2 linked regions of the Alligator mississippiensis genome follow. The protein of the gene in region 1 purifies or fractionates together with the protein of each later gene. This does not show direct contact. Links are inferred from orthologs where the notes say so. Each region holds a gene or a part of one and is shown in the gene's direction. Other genes may lie near its edges.

The links.
Region 2: the proteins of ITPR1 (region 1) and ERLIN2 purify together in Homo sapiens (affinity purification with western blotting, with the first as the bait; 4 studies listed by BioGRID). This does not show direct contact. The link is inferred for Alligator mississippiensis from reciprocal best matches to the Homo sapiens genes ITPR1 and ERLIN2.

What each region holds. Positions count from the first base shown.
Region 1 is NC_081835.1:11,702,195-11,710,117, forward strand, and holds the start of ITPR1 (inositol 1,4,5-trisphosphate receptor type 1), read left to right. Parts: upstream 1-4,527; 5' UTR 4,528-4,601; intron 4,602-7,923. UniProt on the Homo sapiens protein: Inositol 1,4,5-trisphosphate-gated calcium channel that, upon inositol 1,4,5-trisphosphate binding, mediates calcium release from the endoplasmic reticulum (ER).
Region 2 is NC_081830.1:21,399,030-21,406,700, forward strand, and holds the start of ERLIN2 (erlin-2), read left to right. Parts: upstream 1-4,409; 5' UTR 4,410-4,423; coding exon 4,424-4,468; intron 4,469-4,497; exon of another isoform or gene 4,498-4,732; intron 4,733-5,117; coding exon 5,118-5,239; intron 5,240-7,404; coding exon 7,405-7,486; intron 7,487-7,671. UniProt on the Homo sapiens protein: Component of the ERLIN1/ERLIN2 complex which mediates the endoplasmic reticulum-associated degradation (ERAD) of inositol 1,4,5-trisphosphate receptors (IP3Rs) such as ITPR1.

The sequences.
Region 1 (7,923 bases):
CTGACAAAAGTGCCAATGGACCACCTCCACACCTCCTCTGCGTCCCCTGGTCAGTGCCATGTTGGCAGAGACATACTCACTGGCAATGCAAGGCACAGGCATCATCTGCATCCTTGCCCATTCCAGACCAAGCTTGTACAGAACAAGGAAAACTGTGGCTAAATGTTCACAAGCCTCTGAGTGTTCCCTGCTCCCGAAGCAGCTTGCACTTTCCTTCAGGGTGCAATTTGAAAAGCGTTCATAATGCGGCTGGCAAAAGCATTGGCAAGATGCTTTTGGCATGTTTTTTTTCATGTTCTTAGCACACAGATTGTGCAGTGACTGCCCTTGTTTGCACTGAATGATTCCATTTTCTTTCTCATTTTAATTGCATGAGTTAAGGTGTTTATTACTCTTAACAGTTGATTTATTGAGAAATGATGCACCATGCCCCCTTCCGCACAGAGAAGGTATGATGGAAGGTTTGTATAGTGGTTGTTTACATGCCATTATCATTCTTCTAAACTGCACATAGTAAAAAACAAGGAAAATGAAATACGCACTCCAAGACTTAAGGCCCCTATCAGCCAAATGAGTCCAGTGGATTCTGGTCCACTGCCCCTTGGGAATGCAGATGGTTTGGTTTTCTTGGTGATTGTTTGGTGGTTCAGATTCAAGAGACCACTTACCTGGTGAGGCCTTCTCCTGTGCAGTACTCAGCACACACAGTGATGCTAGGAATATTTAACTCATCGAGGACCAGCCTAGTCATGAGGCACTGGTAGTGTCCATCCAGTAGACCAGAAGAATATTCAAGAGCCATTCTGTACTTGTTTTGAAAGCAGCTGAATCCTTCCTTAAATCACTAGCTTTGCCAAGTCCCCCAGTATCAATGCTATCAATAGCAATGTGCTTATGAAGGAAGAATGCTTTGTTTGCATCGTTTGGTAAAATCCTCTGCTCCTGAAGGCATGAGCACAAGGCACTTTCCCTGACCAGCTAGCAGAGGGGTTGGCAATGTTTTTGGGACAAGTGCCAAAAACACCCACAGCCTCAATTTGTAAGGTGTTGGCGTGCTGGGGGCAGATGGCAGAGCAGCCAGGAGGGGGGCCTGATCCTTGTTGTGGCTGCGCAGCCCCAGCCCCTTCCCCATCATTTGCCCCGAGGTGTGCATGCACACACTGCCGGCAACGAGTTAGACCAGGGCTCTGTGGACCCTGGTGCAGCTGCTTGCAGCCTCCTGGCTGCCTGCCACAATCAGCCCAGGCTCTGGGCAGACCACTGATGCCTACCGCAGAGCCCAGGCTGCTCGCAGGAAGCGATTGGAGGCTGCTAGCAGCTGTACTGGGGTCTGCAGAGCCCCAGCTTGGCTCGTTGCTGGCGATGGGTGCACGCGCACCTCAGGGCTGCGTTGTCACAACAAGGATCCAGCCCCTCGTGGCACCCTCTGTCTGCCCCAGGCATGCATGCCAAGCAAAAAGCCTTTGAATGCATGTCAGGGGTAGCTTACCCCTGAACTAGCATTAATGTCAGTAACTTTTCCCAATGATCCAACAGCACCTGAATAACCTTGAATAGCTTCCTGAATATGTGCAGAGAGGGAAGATTCATGAAGGGCAGGAGAATCAGGCTATTAGTCCCATGTAGTATCCATCCCAGTTCTCCAAATCCCTGTTTTTTCCTGCACAGTTACCAGTCACAGCCCTATGCACCAGGGAACACTGGATGGCTTTGCACACCTAAAAACCACCAGCATGGACTTTCCAACCTGGAAGTAATTGCTCACTGAACAGTAGCAGACCACGGTTACATGGTCCTGAGTGCAATCACCACCCATTTTTCCAGTCCAAGCAGCTCTCACTGTGGTGTTTCTGAACTACAGAGCTGGGCTGAGCTTGGCGCACAACTCCAGAATTGTGGCATTCCTCATCTAAAAGTTATGTGACCACTGTTGGATCACATCTGAGTCACAATGCTTGCTACTCCTGCTTAGAAATGTTTCAGCTGGTCAGTGACTGCTTGCAACAGCCAGCAAAATTTGTGCACGCACAGCATGTTAATGCACACAGAGTAAAATTGTGGGGTGCTGGCCCCAAGCAGCTTCCACACTGCACAAGTAACTGGCAATTCATTGCATTGGAAAGGGATGGGAGAAGGGACCGGACACTGTGAGACCTGCATTATTGTTTTCACAATTAAACTATATGTAACGAGGACACAGCAGAAAGATGCACAGTACTGGTGACAGGGCCACAGCACCTGTTGTAAGCTGTCAGATAGATGGTTGCATCACTTTCTGGAGTAGACACGGTATAACCTCTAGCTCCAAGGCCATTCTGCTCCCACCTATGTGATGTAAGGGGGAAAAGATGTGGTCATACCGGTGTCCCCGTCAGTCCAATCTGGCCCGCAGAATCTTCATTTACTGGTAAGGCTGTGTGAGGCACAAACACTAGAGATCGCTTTTCAGATGCAAGGACGACCCTGGAAGCTGAAAGACCACGAGGACCTTGTTCTTAGAGCTGGGCCAATTGAAGAAGTCCTGCCGAGGAACTAACCTCAACGCCCTGCTGCTGCTTCTCATATGAGACAGAGCGAGCCACGCTAGTCTGAAGCCTGGTGTTACCCTTGCAGGCTGCCTCTGCAGCACTGCTCCTGAGCCATTGCCCTTTGGCTCCTACCAATGCGGGAGTGGTGGGGACATCCTCTGGTGACCAAGATTGCCCAAGATGGTGCCCCATGGCAGAGCACCCATCTCCAGCAGGTACCGCGCCTTTCTGCCGCCCAGCTCTCTGGCAGCTGTGATGCCTCTCCAGCTGCACGCCAGGAACCCACCCAGGCAGACAACGGTGCTGTGGGCTTCGTCACCACCGCTCCGACCCTCCCACGCACATGACACAGGACCACACGCAGATGGATAGATACATTTTTAGTACCAATGTCGGCTGCCACGCCTGGGGGTGAGGTTGGCGGGGGCGGGGGACGAGACACTGCTGGGGGGTCTTTTGGTTACACCTGGAGGCACACAGCTGGGGGGATCTTCTGGTGCCAATGCCGGTTTTCCTGGGGAGAGACACTGCTGGGGGGGTCTTGTGGTGCCAATGTTAGCTATTTCTGGGGGTGGGGGGTACTGCTGGGGGGATTTTCTAGTGCCAGTGCCAGCTATACATGAGGGGGCACTGCTGGGGGGTCTTCTGGTTACACTTGGGGTGGCACTGCTGGGGGGAGGTCTTCTGGTGCCAGTGCCAGCTATACCTGGGAGGGGGCAATGCTGGGGGGTCCTCTGGTTGTACCTGGGGGGACACTGCTGCGGGGTCTTTTGGTTGCACTTGGGGAAACACTGCTGGGGGGGTCTTCTGGTGCCAGTGCCAACGATACCTGGGGGGACACTGCTGAGGGGGTCTTTTGGTTACATCTGGGGGGACACTGTTGAGGGGTCTTCTGGTGCCAGTGTGCAGCTATACCTTGGAGGACATGGCTGGGTTGTCTTCTGGTGCCAATGCCAGCTATTTTTTTTTTGGGGGGGGGCACTCCTGAGGGGGGTTTCTAGTGCCAGTGCCAGCTATACCTGGGGGGACACTGCTGGGGGGTCTTCTGGTGCCAGTGCCAGTGATACCTGGGGGGACACTGCTGAGAGGGTCTTTTGGTTACATCTGGGGGGACACTGTTGAGGAGTCTTCTGGTGCCAGTGCGCAGCTATACCTTGGAGGACATGGCTGGGTTGTCTTCTGGTGCTAATGCCAGCTATTTTTGGGGAGGGGGGCACTGCTGGGGGGGGGGTCTAGTGCCAGTGCCAGCTATACCGGGGAGGGGGCAATGCTGGGGGGTCCTCTGGTTGTACCTGGGGGGACACTGCTGCGGGGTCTTTTGGTTGCACTTGGGGAAACACTGCTGGGGGGGTCTTCTGGTGCCAGTGCCAGTGATACCTGGGGGGACACTGCTGAGGGGGTCTTTTGGTTACATCTGGGGGGACACTGTTGAGGGGTCTTCCGGTGCCAGTGCGCAGCTATACCTTGGAGGACATGGCTGGGTTGTCTTCTGGTGCCAATGCCAGCTATTTTTTGGGGGGGGGGCACTCCTGAGGGGGGTTTCTAGTGCCAGTGCCAGTGATACCTGGGGGGACACTGCTGAGAGGGTCTTTTGGTTACATCTGGGGGGACACTGTTGAGGAGTCTTCTGGTGCCAGTACGCAACTATACCTTGGAGGACATGGCTGGGTTGTCTTCTGGTGCTAATGCCAGCTATTTTTGGGGAGGGGGGCACTGCTGGGGGGGGTCTAGTGCCAGTGCCAGCTATACCTGGAGGGGCACTGCTGGGGGGTCTGCTGGTGCCAGTGGCAGCCACACCTGGGAGGACTTCTGGTTACACTTAGAGGGACACGGCTGGAGGGGGGGGGGGGTCTCCTGGTGCCGGTGCCAGCTGTACGTGATGGGGTGGGGGGTGCCGTGGTGCGGCGGGGCGGGGCGGGGCGGGGCGGCGCGGCGGGACTACATTACCCAGGCGCCCGGCGCGCACATATAAGCGGGCGCGGAGCGCGGCGGCGGGCGCAGTCAGCATGTGTGCGGGCGGCGCGCGGCGCGGGGCGGGCGGGAGCATGGCAGCGCCGGGTGGCTGCTGAGCAGGTAGGACGGGCATCCTCCCGGTGGCGGGCACGTGGCGGGGAGAGCTCCCCGGGGGATGCTTTGGGCACAGCCCGCTGCCCCTGGTCCTTCTCCTTCCTGCCGCTTCGTCCCTGGGGCTGGTCCAGCTGCCCTGCTGCAGTGGGGGCTGGGGCCCTGGCTGCTCGGGCTGGGCTGGGCTGGGCTGCAGGTGCGGGCTGCACAGGTGGGCTAGGCCCGAGGGCAGGAGACGGGCGGGCGGCCGTGGGCTGAAGCGTCCGGCTCCTCCTGGCAGGGCGAGGGGTGTCGAGGGCTAGATGTGGGGACACGGAAGGAAAAGCAGGAGTGGGATGACACGGGGCGCGTGTAACGGGGACGCGCGGCCGCTGGCGCGAGCGGAGGAGTGTGAGGAAGTCGCTTGTTTATGTGAGCTGAACTTGCTTCCCGGGCAGAGATGTTGGATTCTTGCGAGTCCCCGTCCACGGATCCGGAGCCCGGGCGAGAGACGTGCCGTGTCCTGGGCAGACGGGATCCGCGGCGGAGGCAGGAGCCGAGCTTGGGGGAGATCCAGCAGTCCCTTTCTCAGCCCAATAAATCACTGCGTTTGTATACTGGAAAACCGTTTTAGTTGATTGGGTGGGGGGAAACAAAAAATGCTGCCTGAAGTCAAGTGGTTCTGGATGAGACGGATGTAACTTGCATGTTTTCAGCTCGGCTGTTTCTCCCCCGCCCTGCCTTCAGAAAACAACCCAAGTACATGAGATTTCTTTTTTCAGACCATCTTAAGCTTGAAGGGACTCGGATTTGGGTGAGGCCTGCGCCTCTGCCACGATGGTTTAGGGGGAATGTGTTAGAACTAACTTTTTATAGCTTTTTTTATGCTTGACACGGAGTTATAGGGATGTTTTGTATTATGTAAACACACATGAATGCTATTGGAGAACTTGGCTATAGACGATCATATTCTTTAAATGGTCAAATGCTGGGCAGTTGTAACCACGACCCTCCAAAATATCCACCCACAAGTACTAAATATTTAGTGGTTTCCTGGACTACAATAACTAGACTTAAGGAGGGTAGGGAGGGGGTCGGGGAAGAAATCCAGTGCTTCGCAACTCTCTGCTGTTTTGCATCCTGTTGATAAAAGCCTAATTATTTGCTAGCTACTTTGGACATTTTTGGATTTGGTTGCTTGTTTAAGTCCCGTCCTGTCGTTCCTCTGAACATGTGGAGATATTACATCTGGTCTAATGCAACAGCTTGTGGTCTCCTAGGAGGAAGTGGGGGGGGGGGGGGACTTTCCTGTATAGTACTAAGTATGTAACAGCCAGTTTAGTGGAACAGTACAGGGTTAGGCCTGGCCCCCTGACACAGACACACCGTTCTCATGGCTGCATCAAATAATTTTGCCATCCAGTCCCACAGCCTGGGTATGTGCAGTGGGTTGTGCTGTAGGACAAAGTAGCAAATCAGAAAGACAACGGCCTGTGGACTCCAGATGTGACAGACTTCCTAAAATCTGGCTGCTGGGGCACAGGGAGTCCATTTCCAAATGAAAAGCAGACATGTTGAGATGTGAATTTTGGAGAAGTGAAGGCTTTGCTCAGGGTTGTTCGGTATCCCCTGTCTTCTTCCAACACTGGGCATATCTGTTGTGCCTGGACTGTGCTCACAACCTGCCTGCTCCATGTGTCTTACCCAGGGAGGGGGGATGCACTGTGGCCACTATTAGGGGTCCTGGGCCTTTGCAGTAATTGTTGTGTCTGGGCATACTTGAATGCTTCTGGCCCCTTGCTGGAGGACTATACTACTATGGTCTGGGGGCGGTCAAGACATGCCCTTATTGTTTTTGATAAGGCAGCAGATAAATTTTCTCTCAACAGGTGTGTGCATGGCATGCCTTCCCCAGGAGCCTATGGTTCAAAGCCCTTAATTCTGCACCCTTCTTGTTTTCTTGCTAAGTCCAGAGTGCAAGGGGTGCAAGATGCACCCTTTGAGACTTAACCTGCCTAGGACAAAAGAAATGCACTTCTGTGGATGATGAAATGGGCATTGTCCATTGTTTTGTTTTAAGCACTGCTTTGCTTGAAACTCATCTCAGGGGGTCAGAGTAAATGGTCATCAAGTACGCTGTTCCTGTGTGCTCGGTGGGTAACAATGCTGCATGCTTACAGTGAAGTGCCAGTGGCCTCACACCAGTTGCCTGGCCAATACTGACAATAGCTGTGAGCGCTGCCTTCAGGAGATCTGATATGACACACAGGGCATATTTCTCCGAGCTTCGCTTGTTGTCAAAGGAGATGTGAGCGGAGCGAGTCGGTCAGTGGAAAGCGGCGGTGTGGGCAGGGGTTCTGTATGTGGGTAACTTTGGCATATGCCAAGCAGCAAAGGACAGACTGAGTTGGTGGGGGGGTGCTGGATGAAGTTTGAGAACTGCTTCCTTGTTTTTTCAAAGCAGCCCTCAAATAGGGCCCACCTGGGAATCTGACCTTCTGACATGGTCTTTATTGGATGAATAATCCAGTTTGTTTTTTCTCTTCAATCTGCCATTCCACCGCTGACATTAGACCCGGCCTGTTTACATGAAAGTGTTTTCCGTCTGCTGGTAGTGCAGCAATCGTTAACTCTTGAAATATGGAGCTGTTTGGACCCCTTTTATGCTGGTACTCGGGAGGAAGTCAACAAAACAGTGTGATTAGCTTCAGTTTGCCTTTGAAACATGAGGGAGGAGCCAAAGTGTGGGAAATGGCTTTTTTTTCTCTGTAACCAGCTACTTTTACATACGGTCAGGAGAGGGTGGGGAAGAGAGTTCAGAAATAATTAACACCTTGTCAGTTTGCTTCTTCAAGAACTAATGCTGGAGCCAGGCATCTGTTTGGCAAGGTCGTACTGTCCTTGGACAAACCCTATTCAATGGCAATGGTGCACTGAGATCAGCAAGTAGAATAGGCTGTGTTATGAATTGTAGTTATGGTCTGTGGGCAAAAAAACGTGGAGAGTGCTGCCAGAGTTGTCTATGCTGCTTTTTTCCCACGATTCTCTCCCATGTCTTGAGGTAGAGTTGATGTATTTGTTGGCAAAGCATGCTGCAGTTCTGTGAGGTGGAAAGCATTCACAGGTATGTCCTGGTAGGGGTTATGCTTCTGAGGGCAGAAGGGATCTGGAGATCCTACGTGAGATGGAGTGACGCTGGGGCTTGTATATTAGATGTGCTAGTGGCTGTTTCTTAGTAATGGGTATGTGGGTGAGAGTGAGGGAAAGCAGCTTATGGAGAGCAGAAGGGCTTATAAGTAGAAAGCAACGGTGCTGATGAAATGTTACATAAAATGCTACATTCCCATCATTT
Region 2 (7,671 bases), on another chromosome or scaffold:
TGGCCACACGCTCGCAGCCTAAACACGGCGACCAAGCGGTAACGTGGAGGCCCCGTTAATAGCTCGCTTGACAGTGTGAGATTCCTGCCGCATGATGCTATTGTTATTATTGACCGATGTCCCCGCGTCTCCCAATAACGCGTCCGCCACGTATGGTACGCATGGAGGTAACCTTAAACTCCCAAGCAGGAGCCGTGGGGACACAGTTTTTCCACCTCTATTCAAAACTGTCAAGCGGTGATTAATGACCAACAGGCTTGAAATTGCCTTTATTGCCAGCTCGGTATTGTTACTTGTGACAGTTAATGAGGTTAGACAGACTTTTACACAGCACTTTATGGGGCCCCCAGTTTGTCTCCCGCAGAGCTTAACAACACCGCAAGCTTTCGTACACAAAGAGCAAAGAATGTTTGGTTTCCCCTAAGACAATAGACAAAGAGCCAACTCACTTTTAACACGGTGTTTGTCCACCTGTTATAATCCATTATCAAGCCTTCCCTTTCATGCTTTTATAGCCAGGGCTTGTAAAGGGCGAGGGGAAAGGTAATGAAATAAAATATTGCACCTTTATTAAAAGGGGAGTGACTTTCTTGCCCCTCCTGCAGACAGGCTGGAGACAATGGCGTTAACAAGCAGATTTCAAAGACCTTCAAACTTGTCTCAATTAGCTTTGCAGTAAAACCCACAGAATATTTTTATCCTGGCTGCACTTCTACAGGGCACCGAGGAGCCGAGGCTTGCAAAGAAAGCTCTCGAGTGCTGGAGAGAAGTGGCTGTAATGAACCATTTGTTAACCTAAAAAAACCCAAGCTGTTAAAAGCCAGCGAGATCTGTAGCAGACACCACCGAACGTTCCTGGCCTGGGGTCTCAAAGTAATGATTTTTTGGCTATTTTTTTCTGGGATTATTACAAATAATATTTACCTTTGTGCAAATTCACATCTTGATACTGTTAAGCACGTGGCCACAGATGGTTTCCCATTTAGAGTAATGATATAGGCTTGAGTGTTATGAAGCAAAACCTCATCTGCCAGCCAAAAAAACACCCTGCATTTAAAAATCTATTACTTTCCAATATTATACGAATGCATTTTGCTTCAGCTCAAAGCAATTTCCTAGTTTACCCTTATTAAACTGAGAGGGGGCTGAGCAGAGGTTCTTGATTTATGAAACACATACTAGATTCATTAAAACCTTTAAAGATTTAATACATTTTATCAAGGACTTAAATCTGGGCAAGCATTTAAAACATCTAATGCAGGGCATATTTCATCACAGGCGCCCTTTTGCACTTATTTAAAGGCTGTAAAATTTGGATTGACAAATATCATGGCTCTTTCATTCCTTCTTTCTGAACGGCGCTGAATTCTTCTGACAGGTTTGTAATATATATGCTTAGAGATCTATCGAGTGTAAAGATCAAATTATTCTCCTTTATTGACATTTTATATGTCTTTTCTATGTTTTCTAAGTCCCCTTCAACAATTATAGAAGCAGAAGATTTAATAGATTTTTGCATGGTCTGTCACTTTCCCCATTCTGGCTCCTCCGCCTGGCCCAACAGGCATCTAAATAGGGAACAGATTTTTTAAATCACCTACAGATTTGTCAAACCCAGAATAAAAGAGAGGCTCGGCATTTGTGACACGGTCTAACAGCCACTTTGCAGCTGGAGACTGACATTGGATTAGTGTCCATCAGGGGGAGTTAAGGAGTTTTTGATTCCTAAGAAAACTTGCTGAAATCTCTCCTGTATAGAGAGGACTTGGAAAAGAGAGGCAGGTTTTGTGCCTAACCCCAGGCTCACTTTGGGATGCAGGCTTCTCCCAGGTTGCAGGCTCTGCGGTTCTCTCAGTATCCCGGGAGCCCTGACTTTGCTAACCAGCTGTCACACCCTGTAACATGCCAGCAAAGGCCCAAATGCAGCCCTTACTTATCAGCAGGTAGGTGTGAAATCTGCACAGGTGTTTGGATCCTACGCTCTCCATGCTCCCTGCAGTCCTGTCCCACCTGGAACAGGAATTGCAGCTCTGCGGCTTTTGCAGAAGTGGTACCCGCCCTGCCCATCACCAATAGGGAGGCTTGAATCTGCGGTGTCTTTTGCAGGAAATTGCCCTAAACAGCAGGCCATAGGTTTGGCATTGTCCCAGGTGGCCTCCTGTCAAGATTGCTTCCCTGGGGAGCTACGAAGGGAAGATATATGGGGCTAGGAAATAAACAAGCTCTAGAGAGCGTGATAAGCAAAGGGGGGCACTGTCCTGGAAAACAGTGGGCCACAGGTTCTGGCCCTGGCCCCTGTGTTTTACATGCATTGGATAAAATGAACAGGGCTGCCATAAGGGAGCTTCAGCAGGCCTAGGGACTAGAAGCCAGACCCTCCCACACGCTAGGTAACACTTAGTCCTCGAAGCCCCACGCCCTCCTATTCTTCAAGGAAAGGGGCTATTGAGCACGGGAGCAAGGGGCACCACGTCTGAATCAGAGCTTCCCAGACCATCAGTGCCGGAGGCGGCAAATGGGAGAGGAGCAGCACAAGAAAACATTGGGTGGACCCTGTTTCCACTGCCTTTCAGTGTGCACTCTTGGCTGCCACGGACCTAGGCTAGGATCTGGCCCGGCCCATGGCAGTTATTAGGTTCTTTGCTTGGCCGATCTTCTGACCCCACACATCCTCCTAACTTGACTGCCTGATGAAACACCGCAACAGAGGGAAGGGAAAAGGCAGAGCAGGTAGGTCCCTTTGCTGAACACTTGACGACAGAAGTTCTCAGCCTTTTCTGGGCTAGGATCAAGTGTAGTTGTTGCTGCACTGGTCTGATACCTGAGCCAAAATGCATTTTAAAATGGCACTGTGTAGCAGAGGGTGCGCCCCCATCTGCATGCAAACAGGACTCCCTACAAGAGCCTCTCAGTTAGCTTCCCACTGGCCAGCTTCCAGCAGGAGGACCTTGGCTACACCCCAACCCGATGGCAATGGAAGACTCCTCCCTAGCTTGCTCCTGCGGCCCTACGGCTGAGGGCAAGTGAAACTCAGGGGCATCCAAACCCCAAACCTCTGGGCCTGGGCCTGAATGTAGGATGCCTGCCGAAGGATTTGGAAGTCTGCAGTGGAGGATACCTGTGGGTAATACGACCACGTAAGGCTTTTGAACAATTCAAAGGATTCAGAAGCGATCTGGCTAATTTGACCTGGGACACCTGGGAAAAATGTATCTATATATACGCACATGTGTGTGTGTGCGTGTGTGTAGATATATGTGTATATAGCTTCATAGACTTCATAGTTTTATAGATGTTGGGGTCAGAAGGGACCTATTAGATCATCGAGTCCAGCCCCCTGCCCTGGGCAGGAATGAGTGCTGGGGTCGGATGACCTCAGCCAGGTGTCTGTCCAATCTCCTTCTAAACACCTCCAAGGAAGGGGACAGCACCACCTCCCTTGGAAGCCTATTCCATATTTTGGCAACCCTCACTCTAAAGAATTTTTTCCTGATGTCCAATCTGAATTTGCTCTCCTTCAGTCTGTGGCCATTATTTCTGGTTACACCAACAGGCTCCCTGGTAAACATTGTATCCCCTATCTCAGGCACGGGCAATTATTTTGGACAGGGGGCCACTTACTGAGTTTTAGCAAGCCATCGAGGGCCGCATGACAGGCAGCCAGGGGCAGATTAATATTCATGTTCTAAGTTTTTTAGGGGCCCCGCGGGCTGGATAGAATGGCCTGGCAGGCCGCATCCAGCCCCCGGGCTGCATTTTGCCCACCCCTGCCCTATTTCTTGCTGCCCCCACCATGAGTTTGTAGGCGGCTTTGAGATCACCTCTCAGCCTCCTCTTGCGGAGGCTGAAGAGGTCCAGGTCTCCCAATCGGTCCACGTAGCGGGTTTTCTGTAGGCCTTTAACCAGATGAGTGGCCCTCCTCTGAACCCTCTCCAGGTCATATGTGTGTGTGTAGGTATATGTGTATAGATATGGGTGTGTGCACACACGTGTGTGTGTGTGTATGTATATGTATGTGTATTTAGTTTATATTTTGAAAAAGTTTTCAAAATATATTTTTTTATTTATACACACACCTACATGTACATAAACCCAGAGGTTCAAGCCGTGGTGCCTGCAGCTTACAGCTGGCTTGGAGGGGCAGGATCCTGGCAGGGGCCCCTCCATGCAAGCAGCCAGGGAGGCAGATGACTTTAGGTGCCCCAGCGCCCCTGCCCCTAAAGCCGGGGGTGCATTTTGGCCGGGCTTTGCTGCCCCCCTCCGGCCAGCCCCAGCAGCAGCACCGGGCCGCAGGCAGGGCGGGGCGGGGCGGGGCGGGGCGCGCTCCCGCGGGTCCTGGCGGAGGTGGAGCTTTGGCGCCCCCTGCAGGCGCGGCCGCTGGAACTGCAGGGCTGGGCTGGGCGGGGCGGCGCGGCGCGTAGTGATGGCGTCACCGGCGCGACACCCGGAAGCGCTGCGGCAGGAGGCGGTGAGTGTGGGCCCTGCGGGCCTGGGGAGAGCACGTGTCCCCGCCCCCCGGCCTGGGCAGCCCAAGGGCACGGGGGCAGTGGCTGGGGCCAGGATTAGTGGCCAGCCCTGGGGTGGATCCTCTTCGCAGATTAGCAGCCCTATTGCCTGCTGCCTGGGGCTGGGGGGAGACAAGGCCTGGGCCTCCCAGCCCCTGCCTCATTCAGGACGTCCGGCCTGGAGCAGCCCCCTCCCCTGTGCAGGGGCAAGCTAGGAGGCACCGGTGGTACGCGGCCTCGCTGCGCAGGCCGAGGACGGGGTTTGGGACGCACCTCGGCTAATGTTTGGCTGGGTGATTGCAGAGCTGCAGCCCTGGCACGGGAGGGCGGGAAGCAAAGGTTATTTGCACAAAGCCAAGCAAGAGCGAGAGGGGTCATGGCAGGACTCCCGGGCTCCGTCCGCTCCCTGCATTATAGTCGCTTTGCAATGGGGGTTGCGTTAGCTCTGCTGTCCCTGTTGGTCAAGCTGGGGAAGCCCCGACCGCCCAGAAACGCCAGCGAAGCAGGAGTGCAGAGTCCTGCCTCTGTTGCTGTTCAGCTCCCTGCCTGTAATAAACCTCTCCCCTTCATGTCCAGCTGTGACCATGCGTGTCCTCCTTTTTGTTACCTCAGGGCTTACTCTCAGGGATGGCTCAGTTAGGTGCTATAGCAGCAGTGACTGTGAGTTTTGTGGCTGCGGCGTTCTTCTCTGCCATACACAAAATTGAAGAAGGACATATTGGCGTTTATTATAGGTAAGAGGCCTGCAAAAAAAAAAGGGGGGGGGGGGGGTTGGTGTCATGGTGTTTTGAAGCTGCTGTCCTGGAGATTGCTTATCTGAAGACAATATGCTGGTCGACTGGGGCAGAAGGAGGAAAAGATAACATTTGCACTCCCAAATTAGTAAGGATGTGTCCAGCTTTAATCGCCAGAAATCCAGTATCTTATAAAGTCTGAGTTCAGTCATCATTGCTGTCCACAGAAGAGTGGATGACAAGTGCCTAAGACTTAAATTGGCAGGAGGCTTTCAGCTCTGCTCTGCTCCAAAGCTTTTGATGTTATCAGTAGCGTTAGCAGAAACACCAGAAGTTCAAGTTCTGGTCTCAGCAAGCTGTTGTGTGAAGAAAGGAATAGCAGCACGCTGGTGAGAGCAGCAGGCCTGATGCAATAATGCCAACCTTCATGAAGACATTGCGAGACTCGCGATTTCTAAATCAAAATAGTTCCGACTCATGATCTCCCAATCACACCCTGAACTCTCCAAGTTTTCGCAGCTGGTCAGTCCGTAGAGGGGGGGCTGCCACAGATTGAGGCCCCTGTGGTGAGGGAGGGACTTGGGCAGGGGTTGGGATGAATGGGGCCCTGAGGCTGGGGCAGGTCATCCAGAGGTGTGGAGGGAGGGGGCATGGCTCCCTGGAGCTGTGTGTATCCCTGGGGGAAGCATGAGGGGCACATGCCCCACATAGAGCAGAGGCAGGCTGGGGCTCTGTGCCCTGCTGCCCTTGCCCTGGGAGCTCAGCCATGTGATGCCAGTATGTTTCCTGGTACTGGGCAGGCAGGGCACGTACTGTGTAGCCAGTGCGCCCCGCATCCCCTGCCTGCCCAGCGGGCAGCAGTGGTGTTGCGCTGCTCCTGGAGCAAAGGCAGCAGGGTACAGAGCCTTGAGCCGGCAGCGGGCAGCCTGCCTCTGCCCCATAGAGGGCACATGCCCCCATGCCTCCCCTCGGGGTGCGTGCAGCTGTGGAGAGGTGCTCCCCATCACAACACTCGATAACCTGCCCCGGCCCTAGGGTTCCATTCACCTCAGCCCCTGCTCCACTCCCTCCCTTGCTGTGGGAGCCCCAATCTGTACCCCACTTCGCCCCTTCCCCTCTGCTTACCAGCTGGGTGCTATCTGTGTCTGGGTCTCTGTGTGTCTGCCCCTCATTCCCAAATCACAGCCCCCCTACCCCCTGCTGCTGCCCCTCTCTCTTGACCCACAGTACCCTGCATCCTTCCAGGACGTTGGAGCTCCTTTCCTGGGCTCCAAACCCCACACGCACACCCGCAGCCCCCCACACCTTCACTCTGTTGGCAGATAAGATGCAACACTGGCAGTGCAAAGCCGCCTTCCCTGTATTCTTAGCCCTGACTTGGGAGGATCTTTCCTGTGGTTCACTCATTGCTCAGACCCTCCGTTGTGGTTGCTGGTGAGAGGGCAGAGTAGTGCTAAGTGCAGTGATGTTTTGTGGTATGATTGCTTGTCCTTTGGAATCTGTCTCAAGACTGTCTCCCCACTCGCTGGACAGCCCTCGAGCACTAATAACTTCTGGTTCCCTCCAGCCTGGGCTGGTTCTGTAGTAATGATTCAGAAGAGAAAGGTTCCTATGCAGTGTACTGTATCTAGCTGTTTGTTTTTAATCAGTTGCCTTTATTCGGCCTCCATCCGCTTTCTGAAGCTGGCAGGCTTTCTGCCTGTCAGTCAGTGGTTGGAGGATTCACTGCTCGTATTTATTGTAGTTGGGTTTTGAGTGCAATTGTGAAGAGATTTTCAAACCCGCTATGTCTGCCATGTCACAGGAGGAGAGGCGTGTTTGATACCGAGGGGCCTGAATGCAGTTTGTGGTAAAGGAAAACCAACTGCCAAGAGGAGTTTTCCATTTATCAAAGGCAGGGTGAACGCATGCGGCTCCAGTGCTTCCTTGTTTAAAACATCTGTGAGCATTTGTGTATTCACAGAGCACAAACTGCTGTGAACTTAAATCAGAGGAGGAAGCTATCCAGGCACAGCTTACAAATACTCAGGTGTCTGTCAGTGCTCTGGGAGTGAAGGGCAAGGCTGGTTTATCATTTCAGTGAATCTGTACTTTCGTGCTTCACTTACGGTATTAGCAACTTATTCTGATGCAGCCCCGTTCTGTCCTTCTCTCTCTTCCTGCAGAGGTGGTGCGCTGCTAACATCAACCAGCGGACCCGGCTTCCATCTTATGCTCCCCTTCATAACCTCTTTCAAGTCTGTTCAGGTAAACTTTCATTTGTTTGTTTAAGGCTTCTGCTGAATGTCTGGGGAATTTCACCCCAGAGCAGAAGACCAAACACACCCTATAAATTGCCTTCTGCGTGGCATTTCCACCTCCATAGATTTACCCTGGCCTGACAGTCCTCCCTGCCTCAGCCTCTCTTAGTCCCCACCGCCTGCTGCAGGGTC